Styela clava: one gene and its partners. The protein of the gene in region 2 binds, or shares a complex with, the protein of the main gene of each other region. Links are inferred from orthologs where the notes say so. Each region holds a gene or a part of one and is shown on either strand. Other genes may lie near its edges. The genes, in order: splicing factor 3B subunit 4-like, putative ATP-dependent RNA helicase DDX46, splicing factor 3A subunit 3-like and splicing factor 3A subunit 2-like.

Region 1 (7,385 bases), on a different chromosome or scaffold from region 2:
TTGAGGACTCTTCTAACCATATTACCAACAACATAAGCAGACGGTTGCAGAGCAATAATTTTTTTCCCCTCCTATGAAAATCATTAGAAATACTTGTGTATCTTCCTCTTATCGTTATAACAACTTGCATTTCACACTCTTTTCAATTATTATATTTGCGCAATAGCATTTTTGCAGTTTACCACAGTATCATTGTAATGGGGAAATGTTATTGTTGCTACTAGGAATGCACAAAATAGAAAGTACCAAATTTCCAATAAGAATTCAAAATTGGTTGGGTTTTCCATCAGTGGTAAAACATTGAATAGAAAATAAACAAATTTGAAAAATACAAGATCAAATTGTGTAATATCTTTCACTGTAAACACAATTTCTTACAAACCTAATACTGATAAAAATTAATCACCTGTTGAATAGTTTTCATCAAATCTTTTGCATGGCTGAATCTTGCAGCACTTATTACATGGCGTAGATAATTTATGGTTTTACATACAGTTTCATAAGACGATTTGAAGCGATCCTGTTTTAAATCCATCAAAAACTGATCCATCACTAGAGTTGCCATTTTAAGTAAAAATTAGGCAATAACACTATGATTACAATCTAAAAAAGATTATTTCCACATAAGAAATGGCTCAATAGTATGATTCAAACAGTTGAGAAGAAAGATTTCTTGAAAGACAGCATAAACAACCTCCAAGAAGACCAAAATAATATTACAAATCTGTCTTAGCAATTAGGTGCATGTTTATGGTATAACTTGTGATATGCACACAATAACAATATAAACACTTGGCATCCACAAACTAAAAAGTCATAAGATATTTTCACTTCACTTCAATCTGTTCAATTTCAAACTTATTTTCATGGGACAATATTCATAAAGTAAAAAGCAAGGCGCATACCGATAAGTTGGCTTGAATATCAATCAGAGTCAGATAATACATAACTATTCTTATTAAGAGATTTGGCTTTGCAAAAGTGTTCATGTATAGTGATACAAGAACAAAATTTTGTTTAGATGGAACATCTTCAGGTTTGCAAACTGGGATGAACATATTTGTCATCGAGACAATCAATATACAACAATATATTTATCCACCCTGTGGTTTGCCTATATTACAGCCATAAATTAATATGGAATGTAAATGTACTGTTCATCTCCCATCCTTCAATGTCTTCAAAAGATATCAACTTGATTGATTTCCTTTTTCTGGTAGTGATGATTCCAGTTATTCGTTCCATCTTGCTCCATCCATGTTTGGAGGCGGTGGTGGGCCACGCATAGGTGGCCCGGGAAGATGTCCACCGGGAGGTGGCATGGGAGGAAAATGACCTTGAGCACCCCATGGAGCAGGAGGACCCATTGGGGGGCCGCGAGGTGGGCCGCCCATCATGCCATGCGGTCCGCCCATTCCCATAGGGGGTGGTGGTCCCCATGGAGGCATTGGCATATTCATTTGTGAATTCATACCATCCATAGGTTGCGAAAGGCCACCTGGTGGCATTGGAGGAGGAGGCATAGGAGCCATACCCATAGGTGGCATTGGAGGCATACCAGGCATCATGCTTGGTGGACCTGGTGGTGGAGGTGGCATTCCCATTGGCATTGGTGCATTACCCATAATTGAATTTACTTTACCAGGCTGTGGGATAACAGGAGCATCTGCAAACATTGTGTGTGGTCTGTCTGCCTGAGAAAGAGGATTCTGAACTGCCAGTAATCTTTCAGCTGCACTGCCATGACGCTCACCTTTAGAATCCTTTTTAAATGCGTACGAAATTGTGATAGCCCTATTACATAAATATTGTCCATTCATAGCTTCCAAAGCTGCATCAGATGCTTCAAAGCTGGCAAAGTTAATAAAAGCAAATCCCTTCGAATTTCCTGTATCTGGATCACGCATAATTTTAGGGGTCTGTAGAATGACACCAAAGGCACTAAAGGTATCATATAATAATTTTTCATCAATTTCTGGATCTAAATTTCCAATGAAAAGATTTGCACCAACATCTAAATTCTTCTGATGAGAAGAAGCTTTGTTAACTCGAATAGGTTTGCCAAAAAGTTTTATCATGTTCAAAATTTTAATTGAATAATCAGCATCATCTTCACCAAGAAATTCAACAAACCCATACCCCTGATGTGCTCCTGTAATGCGATCTTTTGGCATATGTGTGCTGACGACAGGACCTGCTTGTAAAAATAATTCCCACAGCAAAGGCTCTGCTACTTTATCATCCAGTCCGCCGACATAAACAGTCGCATCTTGATTGCGTTCAGAAATAGGACCTGCCGCCATTGGCCTATATTCTTAAAAATTTATAGTATTATAATTAACTATCTGTTATTACATAAGCAATTGAAACATTATGACATGGCAAAATAGGGTCCAGCGAAGTAAACGCCGTAACTCCTTAAATCACACGAAACAAAAAAGTGAAGCTGATTAAATAACCCCAAACAGAAATGTGATGTGCGCAATGAAGTTGCCCATAGACGTGTTTAGTTAAAATTAAACACACACAATCTTAAACTAAGCAGGTATGTCCCTTGCAAAATCAGCAAATAGTGTATAGAATTCTTCGAGACTGACTGTTGTTTCATGAAAATAAATTTTGTTTGGCGTTATGTTAGCAGTTACATCATTTACTTCTGTACTTTCACATCACATTTTTGTTTGGCGTTATTTAAGCACTTATGGCGTATACTTTTTAATACTCGCAACATAGGTAAGTTGAATCCTAACACAAAAAATCATAAATAGGACCAATGCAGAATACAATGACATAAAACTTTTTTTAAAACTCCACTTCAAAGATGATACTCAAGACGCTACTTTTGAAAGAACCAGAATCTCGCCGATTCCACATACTAAATTTATTACAAACCTGGGAAAGTAGTGGTTATAACTGGGGGCTAATCCTGCTAATTAAAAACAGTTTTTGAATTAGAATAAAGTTATATTTGAATTTGGAAAATATTAGATGGGAGTGATAGCCTACTGCTCAACAGTTAAAAAACACAAAATTGCATATGGAAATGTGCTAAGAATGGTGATCATTTCAGAATTCTAGATGCATAAACATTGGTGAAAAATATTTTAAATTTGTTAACAACGGAATCATGTATATAATAATATTATTTGACAGATGGGCTAATAACTACAATATCTGAATATCAGTATCACCACTACAGTACAGTAATTCCACAAATTAGTTGAAAATAAGGCAAAATTGTATCTTGGCTAATTGAAATATTAAACTGCAGAAAGTGTAGGACATATCTAGAAGGTTTTCAAATCGCATGAAAAGTTACAGACCCAAAATCTTTGTTTGTTTATCAATGGAATAATCAATGTTACGATGGTTTTCTATTTAATTTTTCATTAGTTTTGAATCATAATATCTCATGTTATTTATGCCGCCTTCAGATGTAGTTTATTTGGTTAACCAAAGTAGGCTAAATGTTAAACTTTACTGGGCTTAACAGAGCTGATGGAAATTCGCCTTGTGTTTTCACCTCCTGACAATTTTTAAACGTTTATAAATTATCGGGTCTCCCTAAAACCGAGTGGAAGTGGTGACTCCTCTGCGGCCCATGGGCCGGGGCCACGGCCCATCGAATTGGGCCTCGGCCCATCAGGCTATGGGCCGCGGCCCATCAAGTTGTGTAAAGGGACTATTCACTTGGCTAACACAGACAGTCCCCGAACTCATAATAGAACTATAATGTAAAAAATCTGAATTTTTTTTTGTCCTAACCCTAACCTGGTACACATACTACAGGAGTATATTTTTTTGTTCGAATATTGACAGTTTTGTAAAAATTGAAAATTTTGGTAAGATAATTGAAATTTTCCTGATGGGGCCGCGGCCCATAGCTTGATGGGCCACGGCCCATGTGGCCCAATTAGATGGGCCGTGGCCCCGGCCCATGGGCCGTAGAGGAGTCACCACTCCTGTAGCTAAAACCAGGCACTTGCGAATTCAGGCACTTTTTCAGGCACCATTTCAGGCACTTTGATATTTTTTATTTTTACCGTACGTCATTGGGGTTTCCAATTTACCTGACAAGATAATTAGACTTTAAATAATTTTTTGCATCCCTATATTGCAATAAAACAATATTATTTCCAATTTATTAGGGTATAAATAATTCTTCAATAGTAAAATGTGGCAACATTGATTACAAAATATAGAAATCAGGCACTTGTGAAATTTCAGGCACTTGGTCAAAACCTAGTTTACAATGTATCTGATTACTCTAAAGCAGAAAATTAAATATATACACTTTGTATGGTTGAATTTACAATATTTTGGTAAAATACAATACCGTTTGTGACTGATGGAGACGTGTCATATTTCGCAAGTGCCTGATTTTTCATTTTTCTTGGTGACAGTTGCCATTGTTTTTAGCAATTATTTGCGTCAGCACTTACTATTCTTTGCTTTCTAACGCAAATTCATTGTTCCACAACAATTTGAGCGTTTTTAATAATGCAATGAGCAATACCATTTGACAATATATGGTCAACCATCGTACTTTCTGGATTTATTTAAAATTGATTATGAATGATAAAATCTGGCAACCACAAGCACAAATACTAAAACCAGGCACTAGTGAAATTTCAGGCACTTGATAAAAACCAATTTCTCGGTGTTTTTACTTACTTTGAAGCAGAAAACTAAAATATACACTCTTTTGTATGATTGAAATGACGTCTTTTTGGTAAAAAACAAAAACGATTGGGACTGGTGATGAGGGGTCAAATTTCGCAAGTGCCTGATTTTTCATTGTTTTCGATAACAGTTGCCATATATTTTCGCAACAATTTTTCTAAATACTTTGCATCAGCACTTACTATACTTTGCTTTCTAACGCAAATTCATTGTTTCACAACATTTTGAGCGTTTTTAATATTGCAATGAGCAATACCATTTGACAACATATGGTCAACCATCGTACTTTCTGGATTTATTTGAAATTGAATATGAATGATAAAATTTGGCAACCTCAAGCACAAAATACTAAAACCAGGCACTTGTGAAATTTCAGGCACTTTGTAAAAATCTATTTCTCAATGTTTTTACTTACTTTGAAGCAGAAAACTAAAATACACACTCTTTTGTATGATTGAAATGACGTCTTTTTGGTAAAAATCAAAAACGATTGGGACTGGTGATGAGGGGTCAAATTTCGCAAGTGCCTGATTTTTTATTTTTTTCGATAACAGTTGCCATATATTTTCGCAACAATTTTTCTAAATTATTTGAGTCAGAACTTACTAATCATTGCTTTTTAAAGGAAATTCCTAGTTCTACAACAATTTCAGCGTTTTTAATAATGCAATGAGCAATATCATTTGACAACATATAGATAACCATCGTACTTTTTGGATTTATTTGAAATTTAATAGGAATGATAAAATCTGACAACCGCAAGCACAAAATACTAAAATCAGGCACTTGTGAAATTTCAGGCACTTTGTAAAAAACTATTTCCCGATGTTTTTGATTACTTTAAATCCGAAAATCCAAATATACATATTTTGTATGACTGAATTTGGTATTTTTATTGTCCAAAACTAGAAGATCTATCACTGGTAGGAATGTGGCAAGTTTAAAAAGTGCCTGATTTTTTGGTTTTGTCAATGGTAGTTGCCATATCTCTATAATTTTTATTTTTTTTTCATATGTTGTTTCCCTATTGCATTATTTTGGAAAAGTCAATGTTTGTATGAGAGCTCCCCTTAGCATAAATGGAATTAAACTTTTATCATCAGTATTTACATCCGGAAATCGGTATTTAATTAAACCAATCACGCTTTTGCAAAACTATTTGAATATTGTAAAGTTTGAATGACATTGTGTTGTTTATTTTTATTAATTCAAAAGTATGACATATGTATTATTTAAATACGGGTTGAAATTTGACAGATCTGTAGGGAATATTAGTTATTCAGACGACATCTTTATAGTAATGTTCGGAACCCTTGAAATTGATTCAAAACTTCTTCTAATTTGTTATAAACATTTCGACGTAATATATTACCCAGGTAGTAACAATCGCATCGTTATAAACAACCTAATTTGTCTTCTGGCAATATTAGTTCAAAATTCCAGTTTTAATTGTTATCGGACGACGATTTTAATAATGTAATTTGGCCTACGACTTCATATAAACTACATAACAGAAACAATTGACTTATGTCGCAGAGAATCTTTTATAATACGTATCCAAGTCACATTATCCCCTAATAGAACATAATTTACCGTTCACAAAATGTATAAAAGCCTGTGCAAAATCTATATTGACAACCAGCGGTGTTCAACCACGGCTATAATAAAGATATTCGATCACTTGCTGTTGCTGTTGTATAATATTTTTTACAACCTGAAGATCTGACTGTAATATCTTTTCATGGATAGTTTATGGAATGGATTTCATGGATAGTTTACGTAGAATTATGTGTACATTATTTCATGCTGTAACAGCTAACTGTAAAACACGTAGTTCCTAAATAAGAAGAATGGCTACAGGATGGTAAATACGAGATGGCAATGTCACCTAAACAAAATTCGCTCGGCGAATGACATCAGGTAGCTGATATGCCCAAAGTTAGGCTTAAAAGCATCGTTAAACGAATGTTACAATAAAAATCCTTCAATATTCAACACGCCGGTAGTCAGCCAACGAATTTTTTTGCGTTATTCAAAAAGTTGCAAATATATAAAAACGTAAAACAGTAATTGTTTTTAATGTCACAGAAGCCGTATTAAACTCTCGATTATAGATCTTTCTCCATCAGTAATTGGAGAATTAAATTTGAATTTAAATTTATTAGGGAGATAAAACATTAAAAACACAACTTCACAAAGGAAGTGTATGAGTGAACACTAATTGAAGCTTTCAGTTTGAAAATTATTATAGAAATATTGAGTATTCAATAAAAATCCTTACTATTTGTTCTATTTTGACATGATATGATTTACGTATCTTGCAATTAGGTAAAACCACAGATCTAAGAATTGAAAATTTTAAATGTCAGTTCTGAAATTAAACATGAAAAGGTTTTGTGTATATTTTGCTACTTTTATATGTCGGGCGTATAGTTTCTTCATGTCGCGAATGAGCATCAGAATAGGTTGTGCAGAAAATGGTGCTCCCGTAGTATGTGCACAAAGTTGGCACACAACCCGAACATAGTATATGTACAAAGATAGAGGTATTAGGTTGTGCGCCATCCTGGAGCACATAGGCTACTACGGGAGCGCCCTGAAAATACCCACATTTGCAACACCGACTTACCAAATACAAATTTTACACTTCCACAATTTCGCTTTCGATACTTTTTCACATGTATCATGATACCAACGCTAGC
Region 2 (8,069 bases):
TCAATGGCCAAATATAATTTTCTTTCATCTTCTTCCGGAGTTTTACCACTTGGAAGATATTGTCCACGAATTGTTATTCCAGCTTCGCTGTACTCACTAATCTGCCCCAATGTATCTTTAGAAGTTACTTTCCACCTACAAGTCTGTGGGAAATCATTTATCTCCAGCTCCTCTTCATAACGCTTGACAGTTGATCCAGAATCAGCTTCTTCATCTTCCGGTTTCTCTTGTGGCACATAATTTAGTTTCTGATTCAATTTTTCAGCTAGTTGTTCTGCAATTGTCTTCGCACTCACTTTGGGAGCTTGAAATCGACCACCTTTCATAATTGCTGTAGCAGCCTGTTGTGTAACATCTTGTGCCTCAGCACCTAAGTTTTTCTTTAGATTGATTCTTGATGCGAGTCGTCTCGCAATTTCCAACTTCTCTATGTTAGATCCAGAAAGAGGTCCTCCAGGTTGAGCGGATTCTCCTCCTGCCCCATGAAGTAGAACAGGACCAACAACATCCTTGACTCTCTTTTTACTATTGAACATGTTTTCGATTTGTTCGTCAATATCTTTCACTGGAGATTCATCATCAGAATCATGCATTCCAAGAGCGGTTTTCTGGAACTGTTTCCGTTCTCTGACAAGCTCATCTTCAGTTTCATCAAATTTAAAACCTTTTCCGGTAAAACCACTATTTTTTGAAACTTCTTTACCTTGTGATTTAAGATCTGTCTTATAATTTAACCACAAAGTTTCTAATTGAGGAGGTACGGGAGCACCACTGAGCTCAAGTGCTTTGATAATATCACCAGCATGACGTGCCTGTTCTTTTATTATGAAAGTGAAAGCGAACCCTTTGTTTCCAGCACGACCTGTCCTGCCACATCTATGAACATAATCTTCATAATGATTCGGGCAGTCATAGTTAACAACCAAGATGAGATTTTTTACATCAAGACCTCTTGCTGCTACGGAGGTTGCAATCAATAATCTTGAAACACCATTTTTGAAGTCACTGATAACAGAGTCCCTGTCATATTGATCAATACCACCATGTAATGCCATACAAGGGTATGAGCTATCCATAAGATCTTTTAATAATGAATCAGCATGTTCTTGCTTATCAACAAATACCAAAACCGATCCCTGTTCTTGGTAGGAACCTAATAGTTCAAGGAGCTTTAAAAATTTTTGTTCTCTGTTTAGAATAACAACAGTTTGTGCAACATCTGAACATACAACACTCCTACCTCCTACTTGTACCTCGATAGGTTTTGCCAATATTCTGCGAGCGAGAGCTTCCATCTGTCGAGGGAAAGTTGCTGAAAACATGACAGTTTGTCTCTCTGGTCTTGCAGAATTAATAATAAACATAACTTGAGGTTCAAAACCCATGTCAAACATTCTATCAGCTTCATCAAGAACCATATAAGTACATCTTCTCATGTTGGTTACTCGTCCACTGTTGGCAGCAAGCATATCAATCATTCGACCGGGAGTGCATATTATGATTTCAGCACCTCGCTTGAGCTCTGCTATCTGTTCAGAGATACCAGTACCTCCATACACACATACAGCATTGAGATGAAGGGGTTTGGTGAACTTTTTGCATTCTTTAGTAATTTGCAAAGCGAGTTCTCTTGTAGGAGTCATGATAACAGCTATTGGTCCTTCTCCATCTAGCAAAGGACGTTGATCCATGATATGCCGGAACATCGGTAGAAGAAAAGCCAATGTTTTGCCACTACCAGTTTTTGCAATCCCAATTAAGTCATGTCCACTCATAATAGCTGGCAATGCTTGGGATTGAATGGCCGTTGGTTTCTCAAACTTAGCCTTTTTAAGAGCATTCAGAACTTTAAATGAAACTCCAACTTGAGCCCAACTTTTAATGGGTTTTGGACAATTCTTTCCTCTGACTTTAACATTTTCAAGTTCCATTCTTCTTTCAGCAACTTCTTCTTCTGTCAATGCAGCAAGTTCAGGAACTTCAACATAGAAACTTTTCCGAAAAGGTTCATATTTTATTTTAGTATGATCAATTACGGTATCCAGTTTTCGATTCCGCTGTTTGCTTTGAAATTTATTAAATGCACTGGATAGTGACTCCTCTTCCTCCTCGGAAGAATATTCCATGGCATCAACATCAGCCTCCATCAATTCTCCTTTCCGTTTTTCAGGTCTGATTTCAATTTCATTTTTGCTTTTTGCTACGGCAACCACTCTGCTAATCTTAGGGCCATCTGTATTCTCCGTCATGGAGGCATTCTTCTTGTACACACTATCACTCTGCGATTCAAGATTCATCATGAATGCATCAAGAGGGTCAACTTCATCCTCTGCCTCCTCTATAGACATGTCCTTTTCATTCGATATTTCATTGGTTTCTTCTTCCATCTTTTCATCCTTTTCTTCTCTATCTGCAGTTTCTTCATTTAAATCATTATCTGCAGTTTCTTCATTTAAATCATCGTCATCATCATCTTCTAAAGTCCAGGTCTTCCTAGGTCCACTATCATCGCCATTAGCACTTTCACTATCGCCATCACCTGCTTTCAAAAGTGCAGATTTTTGTTCTTTGCGCCACATTTCTACTCTATCTCGGCGCTTCTTCATTTCCTCTTCCAATTTTGCTTGCTCAAAGTCACCAGTGTTGAGTTCTTTTGTTTTTTCCGCCTCTTTTTTGTCTGATGAAGATTTAGTAGTCTCTTTCTCTTTAGAACTTTGCCTGGAATGTCGTGAAGGTTTCTTTGACCTTGAATCTCTATTACGTGAACGTGATCTACGTCTTTCTCGAGATGATCGTCTTCTTTTGTCTCGTGACCTTGATCTTCGAGATCGACGATCCCTCGATTTCTCACCTCTCTCTTTCGATCTCCTTTCTTTATTAGTCGACTTTGTTACCGTTGAAGTTTCTGCTTTGGCCTCGGGTGGCTTTTTCTCAGATTTATCAGCTTTTTCAGCATTCGATTCACCATCACTACTGCTACTACTGGAACTCGAACTTTGCTTCCGCCTACGACTAGAGTCAGACTTTTTATCCCGTCTTTCCCTTGACCTTCTTGAAGATGACTTTTTTCCTTTGCTCCTTGACCTGGATCTCGATTTTGATCGACGGGATCGATATGAGCGTCCATGTCGTCTTCTATGACTCGGACTTTCCCTGCGATATTTTCCTCCTTTTCGTGAACTTCTATCCCGAGAATTAGATCGTGATCTAGATCGCTTACGACCATCTTTGCGTTCTTTTTTTGCTGTTTTTTCGATGCTGCTTTTCTCTTCCTTAATTTTAATCTTCAGTTCATCTGTTACATTGTCCAAAACAGATTCGGAATTATCCGACATTGTATCTGTTTTGATGCACTTATAACCTGTAAGCTATTGTTATATGTTTATTTAATTTTGACGACACCCCAAACAGCTTCTAACCTGAAAAAGAAAATAATACAATAATTCAGATGTTCGATGATTAATCATTAATGATATGTAATCATGCGCCAACACTGAGAGATGCAGCAGTTTTTTAAATTTCACGCAAGGCATCAAGGTGTATTTGGTTCTTACAGTTTTATTCGAATTATCAACAATGTAAGGTCTGGAGGTTGGGATTAGAGGTTTCAAAATACTGCTGTAATGTGGGCTTTAACCAAAAAGAGTTCTTGAAAGAGCTGTTTTGAGAAAATGATCAGAATATATATTTTTGAATTCAAACACCTGTAGCTGTAGATTAAGTGTACGGTAACTTTTTCTTGACATACCGTAGTCTAAAGAATTTTGCTTATGGTTACACAATTGCTATGAACCTTTATGGTAGTTCTTTGTGATATTTCAGTGTAAATAGGCTATAACTACGTTTATTTTTAAATACAGACAAAATTTTAAACAATTCCAACATCCGCCCTTTTGTCCTAATCACAGAAACGAGCACTGTGCAATAAGCTGGTATGGGAATGCAAGAATTCGGAAATGGTTAATCGCTAGGGCTGGGAATTTGGTGCATGTGCACTAAACGCCGTAAGCACTTCTAGCTAGTGTGGCACAAACATTTTTGTAAATGATTCCTAACCCCTCCTTGACTACGTCATCCAAAAAGTTATGTCACTACGATGTCACAATCACATCATAGAGCTTGCCAAAGAAAAGCTATGATCGCCCAAAATGGCATATCTGCCGACGATAACGAACTCGCTAGTCTCATTCACTCATGTCTGGATCGTTACGAGAAAATAGCTTTCTTGATTTTGGGGAATGGCAGAATGGTTATACCAATAACCAAAATGACTATAACACAAGTGAGGACATGCATTGGTATGGTAACGTTATAGTCACTTTGGGTTATACCACCCTAACTAGAGGTACTTGACGGCGTTTAGTGAACTAGTCCCGGCAATTTCAGGAAAAAAATTTTAACCATTAACCGCAGCGTGACATTTGACGTAATAAGTTGAAATTTTAGCTTGTTACGTCACGATGGTTACAAAGCAATTCGCGATCTTATCCCGGTATCGCTCGAAATTACTCATAAACCGAGATAGTTTTTATGATCGCTCTGCTGCGAGATTCAGACATATGGTATATCGGGTATTTTAGTAAAGCCTGATTTCGTTATCAAATGTCATTCATGTGACAAATTATCAGTGTTCAATGTGCAAATTCTACTTTAAATATCTTTAAGAAAAACTGCATCAACTGAGCTTTTGTTGGATGACATTCAATAGACGCTTGTGCAATAAAATCGTGAAGAATATATTTCGACCGAAAACTGATTCTGAATTTATGATTGTCAAATTTCCATAATCAGCAATAATGGTACCTCAATTATTTGGGTCTAGTATAGTTTAGTACCACAAGTACTTCCAGTGGGCGTAGCATAACGAATTTTGGGTCTCGTGTAGTTTGGTACCTAACGTACTTCTAGTGGACGTAGCATAACAATTTTTTGATATGTCAATCCTAACCCATCTGATTACGCCATCCAAAAATTACGTCACTACGACATCACAATCACGTCATAGAGCTTGCCAAATATACATGCGATCGCTCGAAATGGCATTGACGCCTACGATAAAGAACTGGCTGACGTTATCGATCTCTCTCCTATCGGAATCGTTGCGACGAGAAAACGAGAGAAATAACTGTTCGATTTCGGGTGCTCGTTTGCGCGTCTTGGATGGCAGTTCGTATAGTTTGAAGGGCTCTATTACTTCACTATGGTGTCTCATAATGCCGTAATTTTTGGATGGTGTAGTCAGGTGGGGGTTAGGATGGCTATGTGAAAAAATTGTCATGCTACGCCCACTAGAAGTATGTTAGGTAAGAAACTACACGAAACCCCGAATTTCGCATATGTTATTCCTAACACCAACCTGACTATGCCATCCGAAAATTACGTCACTACGACGTCACCATCAGTCCATCACGTCATAGGTCTTTCCAAAGTATGATTACGATCGCCCGAAATGGCATCTGCGCCGCCGATAACGAACTCGCTAACGCCGACGATTTCTCTCCTATCGTGATCGTTGTGACGAAAAACGAGAGAATATGTTAGCCATCATGGAATGATGTTGTTCGAAAAGCACAAATATAAAGTGCTATAGTTGCCTACAGACAGGCTTGAAATAGCTGCAAATACAAAGCATGACTAGTAGTGAACACAACAAAATAGATTAGGGCAGTGTGTCTGGAAAAAATACAAAATAGCTATATACAATGGAACCATTTGCCAAAACAATATTCATACAACTACCAATACTGGTAAGCAACATTAAGATGTAAAATAATTTATCAAAACAGTAAAAGCAGGTTCAATTACACACTCACACAATGAAATACCTATGAGCAAAAATAAATAAGTGACAAAAATAAAGTTAAAATATGCTTGTGTCCTAAGTGCCACATAATCCAAGTAAAGTGGTTGAAAATGTGATTAAAAATATATAAATTATTGGCAGTCAAAAGAAAAAAAAAATACCACCAAATAATATCTACTGAGTACAGGAGTAAGGATATAGCTCATAATAATAAAAAAAAATGAGTTATATTAATTTGAAATATTAGTGAGCAATATGTATGCATTGCCTAATTGTAAAACATTGTTCAGTGCTAGGTAGGACATCACTTGTTTGAAATCAAGAAATCCAACATGAATACTTGAGCCTTTGAAATAAGATGACTTTTGTGGCACGCGTGCAATTGAAGAATTTGTGATTGTCTTTAAAATTGTAACCCCATGCCAGCAAAGAGCTGCATAAAGTGAACCCTCTTTAACTTTGATATTGGATATTCTGAAGTGTTGATTTATTTTATGCCATTCTTCATTGTTTTGGACGATGCTGCAAGGTACCGGTACCAGTATGGTATTCACTTTCCAGCTTTCTATAATTTAATCGGGACGGGCATAAATATCTTAATTAAACTTGGACAGCAAATAATCCTTTTCGATTGTCGCTAGTGTCAGTTTTCCGCCATCTAAATCAATGCATTACGATTCAGCAATACCGTACGGCAACAAGTTTTTCCCACACTCCAACAAAAATAACCAACAATATTGTCAACAAATAGCAATAATAATAAACCGGTATTCTTTCTATTTGCTTGATTTTACCTCTGACTACTGGAGGGTCTTACTACTTACTGAATACAGCGCGAAACACCGCAAAGAGCGCAAAACAGCGCGAAACAGCGCAAAAGAGCGCGAAACAGCGCAAAATAGCGCATAACAGCGCAAAACAGAGGAAAACAGCGCGAAACAGAAGGAAACCAGCGCAAAACAGAAGGAAACAGCGCAAAACAGGAGACGCAGTCATTACCACCTCCTGCCACGAAAGAACCACGGCGCCTCTCGCCATGGTTTCATGGCGCTATTTCCGGTATATTTACAAGGTTATGTACCGGATTATAGGTCATCATGCGAAATTTTATCTACCTTTTTGGTGCTCCAGAAGTATGTGCAGCAATATGTCGCACAACCTGAATGCGCTACACACACACACACACATACTATTTTCAGGTTGTGCGCCATCTTGGTGCACATACTTCTGGAGGTCCCTTTTTACCTAACCCTAACCCTAAAGCCAACCATATCCACATGGAAATTGTTCTAAATTATGGTACCCAAAATGTGTCACCAGCGGGGGCAGTCCTGCCATTACAGCATTACTGGCTACATACGTTGGTTTGTGTTTTTAATTTGCTGCCGTGGTAATCGAACTCAAAACAAGGTGCCCCGAACTCATTGCAAAATTTTTTTCTGCTTCACACTGTTTCCCTCTGTTTTGCGCTCTTTCGCGCTGTTTTGCGCTGTTTCCCCACTATTTTGCGCTGTTTCCCTCTGTTTCGCGCTATTTTGCGCTCTTTTGCGGTGTTTCGCGCTCTTTGCGGTGTTTCGCGCTGTATTCAGTAAGTAGTAAGACCGCTACTGGGTTACGTAAATCTACAAGTTTTAGGATTCTCACTACTGCATTACAGACACAGTCAGTAGTACAGACCAAAGATACCCAGTACGGTACCGGTATAAAGATGATTTGTACCGGAGATGTCAGTTAAAATAAATCGTAACCGTTAACTATCTAAAATCGGTTAACCGATTAACCATTCCCAGCAGATCAGTTCCTGTAACAGTGTAACGGCAGAACGGATTAATTTAGTAGCCTACGGTCAGACGGTACCCATAGCCTACCTACAGTTACCGCGATCCTTCATGAAATCTATGGTACCGGTACTGCATACGGTACCGGTATATCTGTATGCTGGTATGTAAGTTATTTCCTATCGTAGTTCGGTATGGTCTGTCTAAAAAAAAGTTCGTAGCTGCACACATCGCAGGTACGAAAGCTTTCAAAAATGGGAGATATGGTAGATTTTATGTGTGTCTGCATTTCTACGCACGACGTTCGATCGTCACATGTACATCAATGCCAGATTAAAATCGTATGACGCCGGTCACATAAAAATAAATTATATAATCTGAAGAATGTCCCATCACTAATTAATTAATAACTCGCTAATTATACGACATAATTCATCCAAAATCAATAGGATTCTGGTCCAATATATGATGAATGCAAAATTGGGGCA
Region 3 (7,030 bases), about 5.0 Mb from region 2:
AGTTAAATAATTTCTTTTCCTGCATTAATAGTTGCAAATTAGCATAGTGAGAATGATGATCAATCAAACTGGAACGCATACACTTCATAAGATATTTGAATCTGCGTTTTGCCGATTATGCACATATTTGTTGTTAATAGAAGCAATAAAATGAAGAGTGGCTTTCATGTCATGTGGGCACAAACTACCAACTATGAAGCATATTGATTATAAACCAAACTCAGTTGGTACTGGCAATTGAAAAAAGGAATGAATGCAAGTGGTATTTCATTTGACAGTTTTGAAACAGAACATTTATCAGAAATTACCTAAAAGTATGGTATGAACACAGTAGTGTGTTATGGAGCAGATAAATGGAATATTTTTCTCACCACCATTATCAATCAGTACCCCAGAACATGAAATTAGAAGTAGTAAGAAAATGATTTTCCCCTTATCCATACTAACTGCGTTTTTTTTTGTGCAGAACTGATTGTACAGTTTTGTTGGGTCTATTTCTTCTATGATAGAATTTACAAATTTCTGACATAGCAACAATAAAAGCTTCATTTGCTAATAACTTCATCAGGCATCTTTTGAAATTAGGGCTAAAAAGCCCTTAACATTAGAACTGACAATGGGCCAATGAGGAAGATACTTACAAACATGAATGACAACAAGCTAGCATCAATGAACGTGTCAACTAAAACCAATGTCATATCTCAACGGCGATAAATTACAACTAATCCCATCCTTTCTTAACAATATTATATTTTGGCTATCACCAATTCAATGCTCATTAAATTACCCAATATCAATTTGCTGATATTCAGAAAGAACATGGTAACAGCCTTTCATTTCATGGTGAGCGAAAAATATTTTTTAAATCTCTCCATGTGTACATTGTTGAGTTCGCAATGATAAGTGGAATTCATCAAGAATATTGGCATGTAAAGTGATATCAATTCAGTCAAAGTACCTGACAATACCAGTGTATTTATACCAATCCAGAGAGTTCTATCGAATGCAAATATATAAAAAATATTTCTGATGATTCAAGAATGTTCAAGTTTATTTCTTAATGCTACTCCTGTAAGAACACAGGTTGATTGAGTTTAAGTCCACGAGCTCTTTCGCATTTCCTAAAGTTGATAAACAACACAAATGCTCATAATAAGCCTTGTCTTTTCAGGTCCTCGTATGTCTTTTTTGAGACAACATTTCCAGCAGAGTCTTCATATTCCTCTTCTTGGTCTGGATTCCATCTCTCTGCATTTTTCATTTCTTTAATTTTTGACCACAACGCCATCGCATCTTCAATTTTTGTAACATTGGCAAAATGGGCAGTGTTAGGAATACCAAGGCAACGCATCCCATGTGCATGACGCCATTCAGCAAAATGTCGTTGAAATGCCTTTGGTCCTCTGTAAGTTTGATTTCCGCAAATCTCACAGCTGTAGTTGATATTAAGACCATGGAGTTTATAAAGCCAGTAAGGGATCGGTTTGCCATCCCAGCCAAGAGGAAGATTCTTGGGATTATAAATCACTTCATCCTCATCATCTCCTGAATCACTATCAGACATAACATCATCCTCATCTTCATCACGCTCTGTATCAGTACGTGCTTGTCGACGTTGTACATTATCCCTTGTGGCAGCCCTTTGTTCACTAACAAGCTCAACTAGGTGATATATTTGTGCCTCTACCATGGCAGTTTCTTTATTGCGTTGAGATGTTAAATCCTTCTTTCCAGCTTTAATTTTACTTTTAGAATACAATGATGTTTCAATTTCATCCATCGTTTTTCCTTTCGTGCTGAACAATCTTTCAGCTCTTTGCTCTAAAGTTCCACCACACTTCAGACTCAATGCCATCAGCGCAGACTTCAACCTATCAAGACCTAATGATGCAAGTTCTTCTGCTGATGTGAAAGCACTTAGATCAAGATGAGCTCCAGAATGAGCCATCGCACTTCCAGCCTCTTTACCCCAGCCAGGAAATTCATTTGTTTCCCATTGCAATTCAAACTTTTTCAAAACCTCATCATGCTCGACATTCAAGTCGAGTAAAGGTTTAATGCGTTCAACAAACGATACAAGATACTGCAATAAACCATCAATGTAGTCATGATATTGAGTATTTTTCCTATCTCGTGGAATTTCAAACAAGCGATCAAATGCATCTAAATATCTAACATAAGTTAGTTTTTCAATGCCTTTTATGTTAATATAACGCAAGTGTGATTCATGTAAATCTAAAAAGCGACCATAGGACTCTTCATCAGTAAATTCAACAAGTATTGTTGCTTCATCGCTTGCATTTTCTCTCGCTTGATTCAACTCTTCAAATTCCATAGACATGGGAACAAACACTTCATTTGGATGTTTTTTGTGAAAATCTTTGATTTCCCGTAACCGTTTATAAAACTCACCAAATTCATTTGGACCCGCAATTGCTTGTATTTCAGCTTTTCTTAAACCGTCCTTGTCTTCGTACAGCTCCTGTAATCTAACTGAATTGTCCATAACACGATCTAGCAGATGCCTCATTCTGTGGTCTGAGTTGATTTGTTCACGAACCGCTGATTTCTTATGCATGCTTTCCTTTGTCATAGCATCATATAAACGCTCTTTTTCTTCATGCAGCCTACGCTGTTGTTCTAACGTGGTCTCCATCGCAGATAACGAAAAACCAGGACCATATAAATCAGCAACAGCGAACGTCCCGATAGGTATAACGTTACACAAACACAGCAAGCCAGTCGAATTCGAAAATCTGCTGCTAGCTTCGCAGAGTGAACTGAAGGGTCGTAGTGCTTTTCAATATGAGTAGTTTGTTAGTGATGCCAGATTTTTCGTGTTATATTTGTTTCCATTTATATTATGGCGTGAATTATCAAACAATAACCGTTGAACGAATTTACATTCATTCGTTAATATTTTAAATAAGTTTCTACTTAACAATAAAATTTAAAATTAAATGTTTGCTTGAAAATTGCATAATAATGTGAATGTCGAATCATACAGTTATACTGCCACTTTCGGCAGTATTGTACAGATGATTGGTGATCCAGGTATAGGTAATTTTAAACCTTATCTCGTAACGAAAAGTGGGCATTATAAAGACTTCAATTGCCTCTATTTTATTCACAGTTTTACATATGTACTTGTTTCCATGCCAGATATATATCTAAAACCACTGAATTCTATTGGGCTATATCAGGGGTTCCCAAACCGCGGCCCGCCGAGCTTAAGTGAAATATTGACATAGATTTTGTTTTAACCTTTTTACAACCTAGAAACCGCCAATTGTTATGTCGTTATCCCATTTTAAGCTCGTGTTCATGGTAACAATTCGATTATGCCGATATCTCAGTTATACGTACCGGTATTAGGATTACATAGGGTAGTAATTTAGTTATCAGTCATAGAAGAAAGGTTAGAGATGCCAAATAATAAACTAGACTCTGAAAACAGACTTTCCTCGGATGAATAGCATCGTTCGTGTTTCTTTATTGAAAAGAATCACGCTTCAGAGATTTGTCCACTTTGCCAACGAACTATTCCAATTCTGAAACAATACCACATGAAGCGCCATTATGAGTCAAACAAACATGTTTCGAAAAATGTCAAACGTGAATCCACTGAACCCCAGCTAAACCCTCGCATACTTCCGGGACACTACATACTTCCGGCCCGCGTACATCCTTCCGATTCAAATTTTGGCTCGCGGTCAATAAAGTTTGGAAACCCCTGGGCTATATATATCAATCTTTGTGGAACTCTAAATGCAATGCAATATTATTTAGAAGAATACAGAACTGAGAATGACACTGCATTTATTTAATCATTGGTAATATACAATAAATTGACGATTTAGTAGTTATATTTTATTTAATATATCCGTATAAAAAGAAAAGAAAGATCTCACTATTTTGTACGATATAATAGTGAAATGATTTTAATAGTTTTCGACTCGGTTGTTTCATAAATCTAGTAAGATGGTCAATACCAGCCATTTCGACCAATCAAATCAATTCGTAAAGAAAACATACATTTCTTCAGCAACCCATTAGTAAATGTATTGTATATTTTCCCGATGTTCCGGCCAATCTAACCGGTGTTGTATAACTGTTCCAATTTACACCAGCTTACTTCATCTCCCATCCTGTGTTACAGCTAGACTTTCCAGCCAGGTTTTGGATTAGAATGTTAGAATTTCATTTAGCCCATAACAGAATAATAATCTAAGCAGTCTAGTCCTAATTTAGTGATGTTTATGCATGGTTGATGATACTGATTGGATTCAAAATGTTAAAAATGGGTTCTCTCTTGTATTGGATGCGTTAATAACAGATTCTATCATTTTGAAAATCGTGACAAACTTATAGCCCTGGAAAACATGACCAGGTTCGATTCGCGCGAACCCGTGCGAACATCCTGAATCCAACCACTGAATAATACCATCTTTCAGTTGATAATATGTAAAAAAAAAGTTTACAAAATATCATAATAATAAAATCGATTTTGGTTGAATTTTTATAAATATTAATTCTATTTGTTATAATAAATTCCGGTAAAATAAACAGTAGTTGATTATGAGAATAAATAATTGAGTCGGCCTTTAATAGAAATAGTATAAGCTTGTTCCACAACATAATTATTGATAATTAGAGATTAGTACATATTAAACAGATAAATAAATAAAATTTGTTTCGTTTAACTATGATCTCAAAATTACGATTTTAGTAAAATAAATTGAAGTCCAGATTGAAGGCATCGAATTTAAATAAAATACTGAGTTATTATATATATAATGAAAATATTTTAGAGCTCAAATATTATATATTTTGAAAACTATTCTGATAGTTTAAGGTAATTATGTGTATCTAACGGTACGTTGGAGGAGGAACAGGTGGCCGTGTTTTATCTTGAACATAAGCATCGTTTGCTCTTGCTTCACCTGATCCAGCGTTGGGACGATGCGGTACGTTGCTTTTGTTGCCTCTAAATAAATATGTAATTCTGTAAAAAATATTAGTGAAGTCCAATGTTTTTAATTGCTTCGAACGATAAAGGCTTAAAAAATATTCATATAGGTTTCAGTATTATTTATGACATTTTTACCTTTTCCAGGTATTAAACTTGTCTGAAATATTGTTTTTCTCACGAAAGATAACAAATCCAAGTAGAGCTAACAATAGCAATACAAGAATCACGATAGCCGCAGTGGATCCAGCGCTATTAGAAGAAGCTGTAATAGAAAAATATATTTTTGTTTTGAATGTAGGCATACTATACCAATGGTTTTTAATTGGTTACTTTAACCTCGGTTGCTTTATTCTGTTGAGTTTGGATTTGGACAATATTAGCCTATACAAAATATCACCATTACTTGGTACACTTTCATCAGCTGAATTGGTAATGAAGTCTCTTTCGCTGTTGGCTGAAAAATATAAATTAGTAGAAGTTGTTTAATATGGGAATAAATGAAATCGCACCGCAATCATGCCACGTATGACATTTAAAGCTTAAACATGAAATTTCAACCAAGAACAAAACATATTCACGTACCACACAGTTGATTTCTGCAGTAGTCCTTTTCTCCACACTTGGAGCATGCAGTTCCTTTTTCAAACACGGACATCATTTTACCAGACATATATACATTTCCCCTGTATGAAACGTAGGAGTTAGTTAGTTTATGGTCAAAAGCAAGAGTGGTTAGTTGGGCCATACCTTTGAAAAATGATCGATATTAATTTTGGAATATATTGATCGATTTTGAGGTTTATAACAAAAATGATTTTTTTCCCTAAAAGTCAGGAAAAACTCGATGCAGAACTTTTTAAGTTGTTACAGAATAGCAATCAGTACACAGCTGATCTCAGAAGGCAACATATTGTTTTATTAGATGTTTTGCATTGAAAATGTTTTACACTTCTCACAAAAAATTATATTCTTGTGGATATCTAGCATTGAGAATAGTGAAACTTGTCCATCTTTAACAAAAATATGAACATTTAATTTACACATAAGATAAAGATGCTCATGTTACAATATACCCATTAAGCGAGCGACTGGCTTACTGTGCAAATTACTGGAATGTATAACTTCACAGCTGAAGCAAATGAATCTGTCATTTAACCATTTAACTATTTGGTAACAAAACTTACGCGGTCGCATAATTGCACAAAAACATAGTGCCAGATCCCCAGTCTACTCCAGATAAAGTTTTGCATGAAACCATTGCACATCCGACTTTGAACGTCTTGGCCCAGACAACCTATTGAAATAGGATATACAATAATTAAGTGCTGGAATAAGAACCACGTATTTTTGTATGACAGTCCATTTTCAAGTACGTAATTCAAAAGTTATAATGATGTGAACGTATTAGTTGGCTAACGCTAATCTCCGAAAAATAATGGTGGAGCAATCATTTTCACGTGTTGCGTAGCCTGTTCTATTTCCAAAGTGGATGTGTACCCAATTTAGTCATGTCTGATTCGTCTCAAATGGTGACTTCATCTATATGAGTCAAAGCGAATTTTAGGATTCCGTTATCCGTAATACGTAATGCATTTGCATATCTTCCATTTTAAAGATGAATATAGCAACATTATTATCGCACCAAATATGCCTGGCGAGAGGACGACAACGAGTAGTTATTCTTTTCTATTTGCAGTATTTTAATTCGAGAGTTTTTAATCACGTTACAATGTTTTCATACGATACCTGAGTGTAATGTCCGCACATTTTTCCTGATTGACAAGTTTTTGAGTTGTAATCAAAATAGCTAATTTCACTAAACCATGATTGCACTGAATTTTCTACGTTTTTTATTGTTCCACTTGAAGCATGTATGTTTTCACCGACGCTAAATGTATGCATTCCATTATTAGTGGAAATAAAATATATATATATAACGTAACTTTGGTAAAAAAAATAGCCATGTCGTACCTCCATCCTCGCGAATGTTTCCTATTTTTATTGTGACCAAAGTGACATTGTTTGCAATATTCCTGAGCCAAGTATGCAAGTTCACTG
Region 4 (7,698 bases), on a different chromosome or scaffold from region 2:
AGTGTCGACTGTGAGTTAACTGTTTGATGGAATATGCAAAGGAGCAAACCCGATTGAATAAAAAGCATATCCCTTTATTTAAATGAAACAGCAAAATTCAGGGAAAATATCACTTCCCATATTATGATAATACCCTCCTAGTTACTTATTCCACCTTTGAGTGCTGAGAATTTTAAAACAATTACCGGTAATCCTTTAAATTGATAAAAGGCAATTTTTAAATTACTGATTATCGAAAATTTGTAACAACGACACATAGTCCCACTTCATGCACAACCAGGGGAGTAACCAGAAATTTTCAAAGGGGGGTTAAAGGGGGCTGAAATTTTTATTTGCCAAGTTAGACCGAAACAGCTAGCGGGTCCGATCGAACGCTGGAATACGCGTATTTTTATTAGTCTTGGGGTCTAAAAAGCATTTTATGATACGAATAGTTGCTATCTATGATACAGAAAAATGATATTTTTTTTTACATTTCAAAGGGGGTGGGAGGGGGTTCAACCCGCAGAACCACCCCCCCTGGCTACGCCACTGTGTACAACAATTAAAATTAATTTGCAGACAGAAGCTCATACCTGTGTTTTGGTATGATTATATCAACGATCTCAGGATAATCGACCTGGAATAATAAACTTTGTTGTCCAGTATCGGGCACTCTTTGCTTTGTCACTGAAAAAAAAAAGAATGCAACATTAATTAAATAATAATCAAGTAGTTGAAGTTGAGTTATTGATGAAGAATGTTACTTACTGTGTGTGAACACTCAGCGAACAATCTGAGTGATAGATCACGTATTTCCCCTAAATATGTGTCTGAAAGACCCATCAGTGTAAAACAGTCAATACAACTACGTTAGATTAGTATTACAAGTATTTAACATTCTATTCGATTCGGAAAAAATATTCGATGCAATTCTGAAACCATCGTATATTCAAAAATGTCTTAATTGTACGTCAATTGAGGAGAGGAACTTTCCTCCAGATTACCCCCGTTCTTGATCATTAAACTATTCAGATTTCTTTATTAATTAATTACCTTTATACCCAGGCCGTCCGATTTTAACAAACTTTTTGACTTCAATGGTGGGTTTGGCTGGAGCAGGTTGAGCTGGGGCTTCCTTTGCATCCCTTGCTGCTCTTTTTGCCAGATTTGCTTGATGTTTTTTACCTTGAGTATGTGCAAGATAACTTCCCTGGAAAGAGGAAATTTTCAAAATTGAGGCAGGTAATGAGATGTGCAGAATTATGGCAACACAATATGTAGCAGTAATTACAAATGAAAGTTTGCTGAGCAATGATTTCCTTGTTTATTTCCGTAACAATGATCATTTAGCAAAACGTCAACGATGACGTAACAATTGTAGTTTTTGCAGCCACTCAGGCACTTTGTTTGCCCAAACAGATACTCAGGCATGGTTTTAAACATTGCCTCGCTTTCGCGGCACTCAAGTTTTTTGTCAGGTTTTAGTTGTGTTTCCAAAAATTAGTTATAAATAAAGTACAGTATTTGCTCGTTTTGTAGCCCGGGCCCACATTTTTTTCAACCAACTCACTAACCGGGCCCCTATTCAAACCGGCCCCTATTCAAGCACGGGCGCTTGTTATTTTTGATCGTTACAATAATTAATATATTGTTATTTCCATTTCTCAAGTATGATTTGAACGAGAATAACGAGAATTTTGACTTTTTCTACGCACCGCAGGTACAAATCCACAAAAGAGGAAGTTTTGCGACACAGGCACTTAAAATTCAACAGCGTTGTGACAAAAGCGCTTCTATTTCCTATTGTTCTCTACCACTGAAAAATCAGCTTTTACATCGAGCGGGTATTCAAGCACCAGCCCTTATTTATTTTTATGTTCTGTTCACACGGGCAGCTATTCATACGGGCCCTTATTCAAGATCGGGCGGTAAAACAAGCATATACGGTATATTTCATTTGTCAATGTTTTTCGTTGAGCTTTAGTTTAGTCACAATAATCAAATATCAGTGCCAAGGTAAGCTGCTATAGACTAGGCTAAAACTAGCTGCAAGTATCTGTAAGCGTATTGTTGTAGGCTGTATTATGATAAAAATGATGGGTTTGAAAATGTTTATAAACGTCGACTCTCCAAAACACTTGATAAATAAGCATCCCAAATTTTGAAATATCAAAGTGTAGAGAGAATTATTCTTGAATCGAGAGTCGAGAAAACATTTATTGCCTTGAGACCTGAAGGGCTGGGAGATATCAGAAAACAACAACGTGGTGTTACACATAGTTACCGTAATTCAGCTCATTTGTACAAAGCCCCCAGCAACGCTCAAAATAAAAAGGATTAATTATCCAGTTCAAGTGAGGGCTAGGAATGCAGATGGCACTGGAAATTCAAATAATCTTTCCTAACCTCAACCCTCAATTGGATAATCACTATTCGTTATTTAGAAATACTGAAATATGACAGAGGTGTTTTCTAAAATGTCATATTTTTGCATTATTGGCGAGCGCTTTGTACGAAAGATCTGGTGATTGTGCAAAACTGGAATAACAAAATCAATCATATGTAATATATCACTCACCTCATTGTTGTGCAGTGTTAAACAAAGTTTACATTCGTACGAGCCAAGATGATTTTTCATAAAATATGGATCCTGAAAAACAAAATACCTTTGGTATAGCAGCACTTTCAAAATTGACTCCTTACTGCCTTGATAGAAAGATAAGACCATGTTGTTTGTAAAACAATAGTGCATTAATGGAGTAATAAATTACTGAATTATCTTCATTGTTTTAGTTATTAGGCATTATGTTTATTTATCTCAAAAGTCAGAATATGCAAAAGTACGGGATATATATTACCTATATAGATAATCATAGACACATAAACTCGACAGGGTTTCAATACTCAAAAACGAAATGAAACAATAAGAAATTTACCTTATTCAAGTCAATCGTTTCCAAGGCCAACTGTCTCAACCTTTCTCTGCGATCTCTATTTGCATCAGAGAACGAGGCCACACCACCTCCACCTGTCTTACCACCGGCTCTGTGTTGAAAGTCCATTATCTTTTATTTCACCGTGTATTTTCTGTATTCTGAATACGAAACACCAAAGACAGATTCACGGTACGGTGAGGCAGAACACAAACGAGAGCGCCGACGATAGACCCGATGGCGGCATGGAACGTAAACATGATGAAATTGAATCGAAAACGACGCTTGCCAGATTTAGGAGATAGATGAAAAGATTTTTGTGGCATATGACTTTTCACAAATATTTGTAAGACTTGGGAAAAAGTTTTTTTCTAATTAAAAATTCTTGATAATTTAATCATTTGCTGCAATCTGTGTGTTCTTGTGTTTCAGCGTCCATGCATTTAGAACGAATACCTGATTTACTATTCCCATATTCGACATAACTTTGTTATACGATAAATACCATTGATTGCAATAAAGGGTGAAATTTAATTTAATATTTGTCCAGGAGAAGACGAAAGCCGATAGGACAACAATCCCCAATCTAATCACTTTTCTACAAACATAGGATTCAACCACACTGGAAATAATACATCAAAGGTGATTAGATTATTTTATTCATAAATTAGACTGTAGTAGTATATATTTCCGATTAGACGTACCGGCTTATAAGGCGCACGATCAATTTTTTTTTGTTGAGAAAAGGAATTTAAGTTGAAGTGCGCCTTGTGGTCCGCAAAACACGACAATCAAAATAGTCTAAGGAGAAAAGAACCTGCTCATCAAGCGACTCGCTCTCTAAAACCTCTTTAGAAACAAGACGGAAATTTAAATATCTATTTATAATTTACAAGTTATTAACGTTCAAGCATAATTTGGTTATTTTGGCAAGAATCTACTATAAACTTAACATACTGATTACTGACTATATCTTTCTCGCGTAGCTAACAGTATAAATTTACAATGATCATTTTCCTTTCTACTCCCAGAAGCAGGAATTACTTTGAAAGTAGAGTCATAAAAGACCATTCAACCCCAATTTGCTGTTACTGATAGTTGGTTTATTTGCAACGATTCATAAATATAAAAACGGGCTCTCTCTGATATGGAAACCACTAACAACAGATGGCCGTTGAGTATCACGAGTATCACGGCTTCGCACGAATCCTCTGGATTCCACCACTGATTATATGTGCTAAGAAAATGTAATAGCATCAAATGCTGATAACCCTACAAAGCACCTACTTTAACGTTTGAGTGGTGAGTGGACATTCGATATTGATGTTGGAGGCGTCGGATCGGATGAAATGATTTTAAATAGAACTGGTCGAAGGCGACAGAGGAACCCGATACCCTAATCCATGATTTGTGCATGGCCGGTTGTGGAACATTCAATCTATTTAACGAGCTTGTTTTTTGGTAACAATTTTTTGTCACTGTGTTTTTTTTGCAATGAAATTGAACTACAGCATCACCATTTTACGTCAACGAGTGTTTTTTATTCCATATTTTTGTGAGAAAAGCACTGTTGTACTTAGCACTTAGGTGTCGCTGCCTGAAGACCTCTTGAGGTCCCTCGCGACTCCTGTCACACAATTTAAGTTAGTTTCCACTTGTATTTGTAATTATTTTTTTATATATCATACCATGTTTAAATTGTGTTGACGAATAAATGATGATTGATTGATTGATTGTTGTGTCTCACATTTTAAAATTGATTTAAAAGGTATTGCCCGATTTTACATCGTGATTTTGTTTTATTGTGGTTTTTTTGACTGTTTTTGGTGGACGGGCACGTACTTGTACGTTTTTAACTTTTTTATTAAGTTATACCCGTCCTCCAAGTTCTCTGCATTTTGTTTGTCCGTTTGTTGTTGTTTTGTTTCTTTCAGAGTGACCGAAATAAAATTGATTGATTGCGGTTTGCCTGTATCTGATAACTGATTTTCTGACTGTCTTTCGTTGGTCGGACAAAAAAGTTACAAAACTACGGCCCACGGCGCGGCGGTGTGGCTCAACGGGCTAAGCGTTAGGAATACGCTCGCCACCGCACCTCTAATTACTCTGCGTGGGTTCGCAGGTTCAAATCCCCTGCAGGGATGGTTATGTGCGAGAGGATTGCTGGACTCCTCGCCGTCGTTGGGTGGTTCACGTAACCGCTGGTCGGTTACGGCTTCCTCCACCACCAAGTCCATGCTTCCGAAAACAAACAATACAGTAAAACTAATCCCATACCCGACTTGGAATGGTAACCGGACGAGAGGCCGTGGTTCGCCATATGGATAAGCCGTCTTATCGGCTTTCCTCTCCCCCCGGGATAAATATGTAAATCCTATCCTATCCTATCCTAAAAATTTCTGAAATACACTACCCTGAACCACCTTGTTTCCGAAAATAAAGTTTCAAATTGTTTCTACCTTATTTTGAGATTTATTTCACGATAAGCATGTAAAACGTGTAATAAATATTGAATATTTTTCACGAATTAACCAAAAATTAAATCATAGATTAAAAAAACGGAGTCACAGGGGTAAAGCGCATAGCGCGCAAGTTCATTAAAAATAATCACTTTAAAAATGCTCCAATTAAATTACTTTTTTGATTACAGGCCAATGATAAAAAAAACTATACGACACTTCGATCTATGTTTCAACAGAGCGGATATAGCTCTTATCTATGTTGACTTTATTTTCACCGTCGCCGTACATGTTAATCTGGATTGGATTAGCAGGGTTTAAAAATAAGCTTCCTTGACGTGTCTCCTGAACTGGGGCCGCAGCTGGAAGGGCTGCCGGTAATTGGCCAACCCCACCCAGTTGCAGCACCACTTGGGTCACTCCTGCTGGTATTTGAATGCTGTGAATACCGGTATTTGAGGCTGTGAAAATAATAACAAGTGGTAAATTCTGAGAAGCCGTAGTTTTTTTCAGCTATGAATTTCCTGAATTTCTATCCTGTGTGTTATCTTTTTGTTGTGTCGAGCGGATATCAGAATAAATTCACCTATCCATGGCATAGTATTCATTCAGATGCAGTATAAGTTTATTTCGACTCCATAATCAGCATAACAATAAAATGATTGAAACAAATGATTAAAAATGGATTATGAAATCCGCAAATAAAACCTTAGATAAGGTTTAAAACGTACAGAATATAAGATGAAAGGTTTTGCCAAGAAGAAGTGGTACGTGTTCACTTACCTGATCTTAGTTTTATTACATTGTTGCATTTGGTGGCGTAAATTATTAAAATGAACCGTAACATATGAATAATATACTTGAAAATGGAGCGTCACTTTGCATAAACCAAATAGCTAACATAAAAAATTGCAGAACAAAATTTGTTGACTTACCTGGACCAAATGGTGTTGCCAAATTCGCCGCTGGTTCAGATTCAGAAATCGTTTCAGTCACAGATAATGATCTTCCAAACAAAGCGGGATTTGTTTGAGATTTGCCCTTTCCTGTGAAAGGATTCATAATAACAATAATAATAATAAAAAGAGAGCAATGCTCAAATATATGGGCTTATTTCAACATAAGCCCTCCCCTTAAAATACCACCTAGTCAATAGAGCAATTTTTTTTTGTTCCGTTATTCATAAGTTTAAGGATATCGGTTTTCTTATTTTGTATATTTGAAAATTTCGTACTTCTTCACTTTGTAATTTTGTTTTTGATAAATGAAAAAAAGACATCCTCCCAAAATAAACCCTAGTGTTATTATTCAAAGATAATTGAAATAATTTGTCATATTGACGGGGAAACACGTTAGAAACAGCGAAATTTAGGAACCAAAAAAATAAAAATATTAGCAATCACAACAACAACAATTATTTGTCAGGAAGAGCGATTTGTTTTCAATAACAACAACACTAATAACCTCAACAACAATTTAACAAAATGAATCCATAAATATACTTTCTCCATAAAAATATTGCTACCATACCTGACTCTCCTCCGTTTATATTCGACAAATCTCCTGCATCAGATCCAAACTTGAAACGAACCTGAAAATTCAAATTTCAATTCGGAGCAAAGAATTTTCGTCAAGCATGAAATATTGACCAAATAAACAGAAAAAATAAATTAATTGGGAGAAAAAATAACAGACATACAATATTTGGTGCTCCCGAAGTATGCGAACCAAGATGGCGGACATCGGAACGTAAACATGGGTAACAGGTTAGGGTTAGACGATAATTTTTTTTCAATTTTCCTTATTTTAGTCCTATTATCAGTTCGAAGACTAGCCAAGAGCCTCCCGTAGTATTTATACCTAAAATTATGGCCTAACCCTGACCTAGTACACATATTACATTCCGATGTCCGCCATCTTGGTTCGCATACTTCGGGAGCCCCCAATATTTCAACTGCAATGGAGGAGGAGCTGCGAATAAACTATAAAGTTAACATGTCATCTTAACCTAAATTGCTTTATATCGCAGCAGATGACGTCAAATGCCCAGTATTTAAACATGTTTTTTATTAATGGGTATAAAGCAAACAGCAATTAAAGATAAAATTGATCAATCTAATTTACCTGATACAATTGGCCTTTTGTATTTATCACAAGAATTCCATTTTCCATCTTAGAAAGAATTTCTTCATGTTGAAGTTTACCTGAGTTAAAACAAACAAAGTTTCAAAATCAAGAGCCCAGACCATCAAAAGCCTGAATTCAGGGATGTGCAACCTCAGTCTAGGTCTACCAACCATCCCGGAATGGCGGGACAGTCCCGG

The links.
Region 1: putative ATP-dependent RNA helicase DDX46 (region 2) and splicing factor 3B subunit 4-like share a complex: the UniProt entries of both Homo sapiens proteins name them as parts of the 17S U2 SnRNP complex. The link is inferred for Styela clava from reciprocal best matches to the Homo sapiens genes DDX46 and SF3B4.
Region 3: putative ATP-dependent RNA helicase DDX46 (region 2) and splicing factor 3A subunit 3-like share a complex: the UniProt entries of both Homo sapiens proteins name them as parts of the 17S U2 SnRNP complex. The link is inferred for Styela clava from reciprocal best matches to the Homo sapiens genes DDX46 and SF3A3.
Region 4: putative ATP-dependent RNA helicase DDX46 (region 2) and splicing factor 3A subunit 2-like share a complex: the UniProt entries of both Homo sapiens proteins name them as parts of the 17S U2 SnRNP complex. The link is inferred for Styela clava from reciprocal best matches to the Homo sapiens genes DDX46 and SF3A2.

The regions. Positions count from the first base shown.
Region 1 is NC_135255.1:4,023,571-4,030,955, reverse strand, and holds splicing factor 3B subunit 4-like, read right to left. Parts: upstream 2,348-7,385; 5' UTR 2,304-2,347; coding exon 1,233-2,303; 3' UTR 603-1,232; downstream 1-602. Other genes in the region: translation initiation factor eIF2B subunit beta-like, read right to left, coding at 1-71, 407-565. UniProt on the Homo sapiens protein: Component of the 17S U2 SnRNP complex of the spliceosome, a large ribonucleoprotein complex that removes introns from transcribed pre-mRNAs.
Region 2 is NC_135256.1:21,745,132-21,753,200, forward strand, and holds the start of putative ATP-dependent RNA helicase DDX46, read right to left. Parts: upstream 3,440-8,069; 5' UTR 3,336-3,439; coding exon 1-3,335. UniProt on the Homo sapiens protein: Component of the 17S U2 SnRNP complex of the spliceosome, a large ribonucleoprotein complex that removes introns from transcribed pre-mRNAs.
Region 3 is NC_135256.1:16,760,161-16,767,190, forward strand, and holds splicing factor 3A subunit 3-like, read right to left. Parts: upstream 2,808-7,030; 5' UTR 2,657-2,807; coding exon 1,148-2,656; 3' UTR 956-1,147; downstream 1-955. Other genes in the region: GLIPR1-like protein 1, read right to left, coding at 4,870-4,987, 5,108-5,234, 5,376-5,426, 5,555-5,655, 6,157-6,266, 6,719-6,860, 6,944-7,030. UniProt on the Homo sapiens protein: Component of the 17S U2 SnRNP complex of the spliceosome, a large ribonucleoprotein complex that removes introns from transcribed pre-mRNAs.
Region 4 is NC_135250.1:29,566,643-29,574,340, forward strand, and holds the start of splicing factor 3A subunit 2-like, read right to left. Parts: upstream 3,150-7,698; 5' UTR 3,045-3,149; coding exon 2,919-3,044; intron 2,633-2,918; coding exon 2,561-2,632; intron 1,193-2,560; coding exon 1,036-1,192; intron 670-1,035; coding exon 576-669; intron 1-575. Other genes in the region: uncharacterized protein LOC120334753, read right to left, coding at 5,600-5,835, 6,310-6,420, 6,905-6,965, 7,499-7,578. UniProt on the Homo sapiens protein: Component of the 17S U2 SnRNP complex of the spliceosome, a large ribonucleoprotein complex that removes introns from transcribed pre-mRNAs.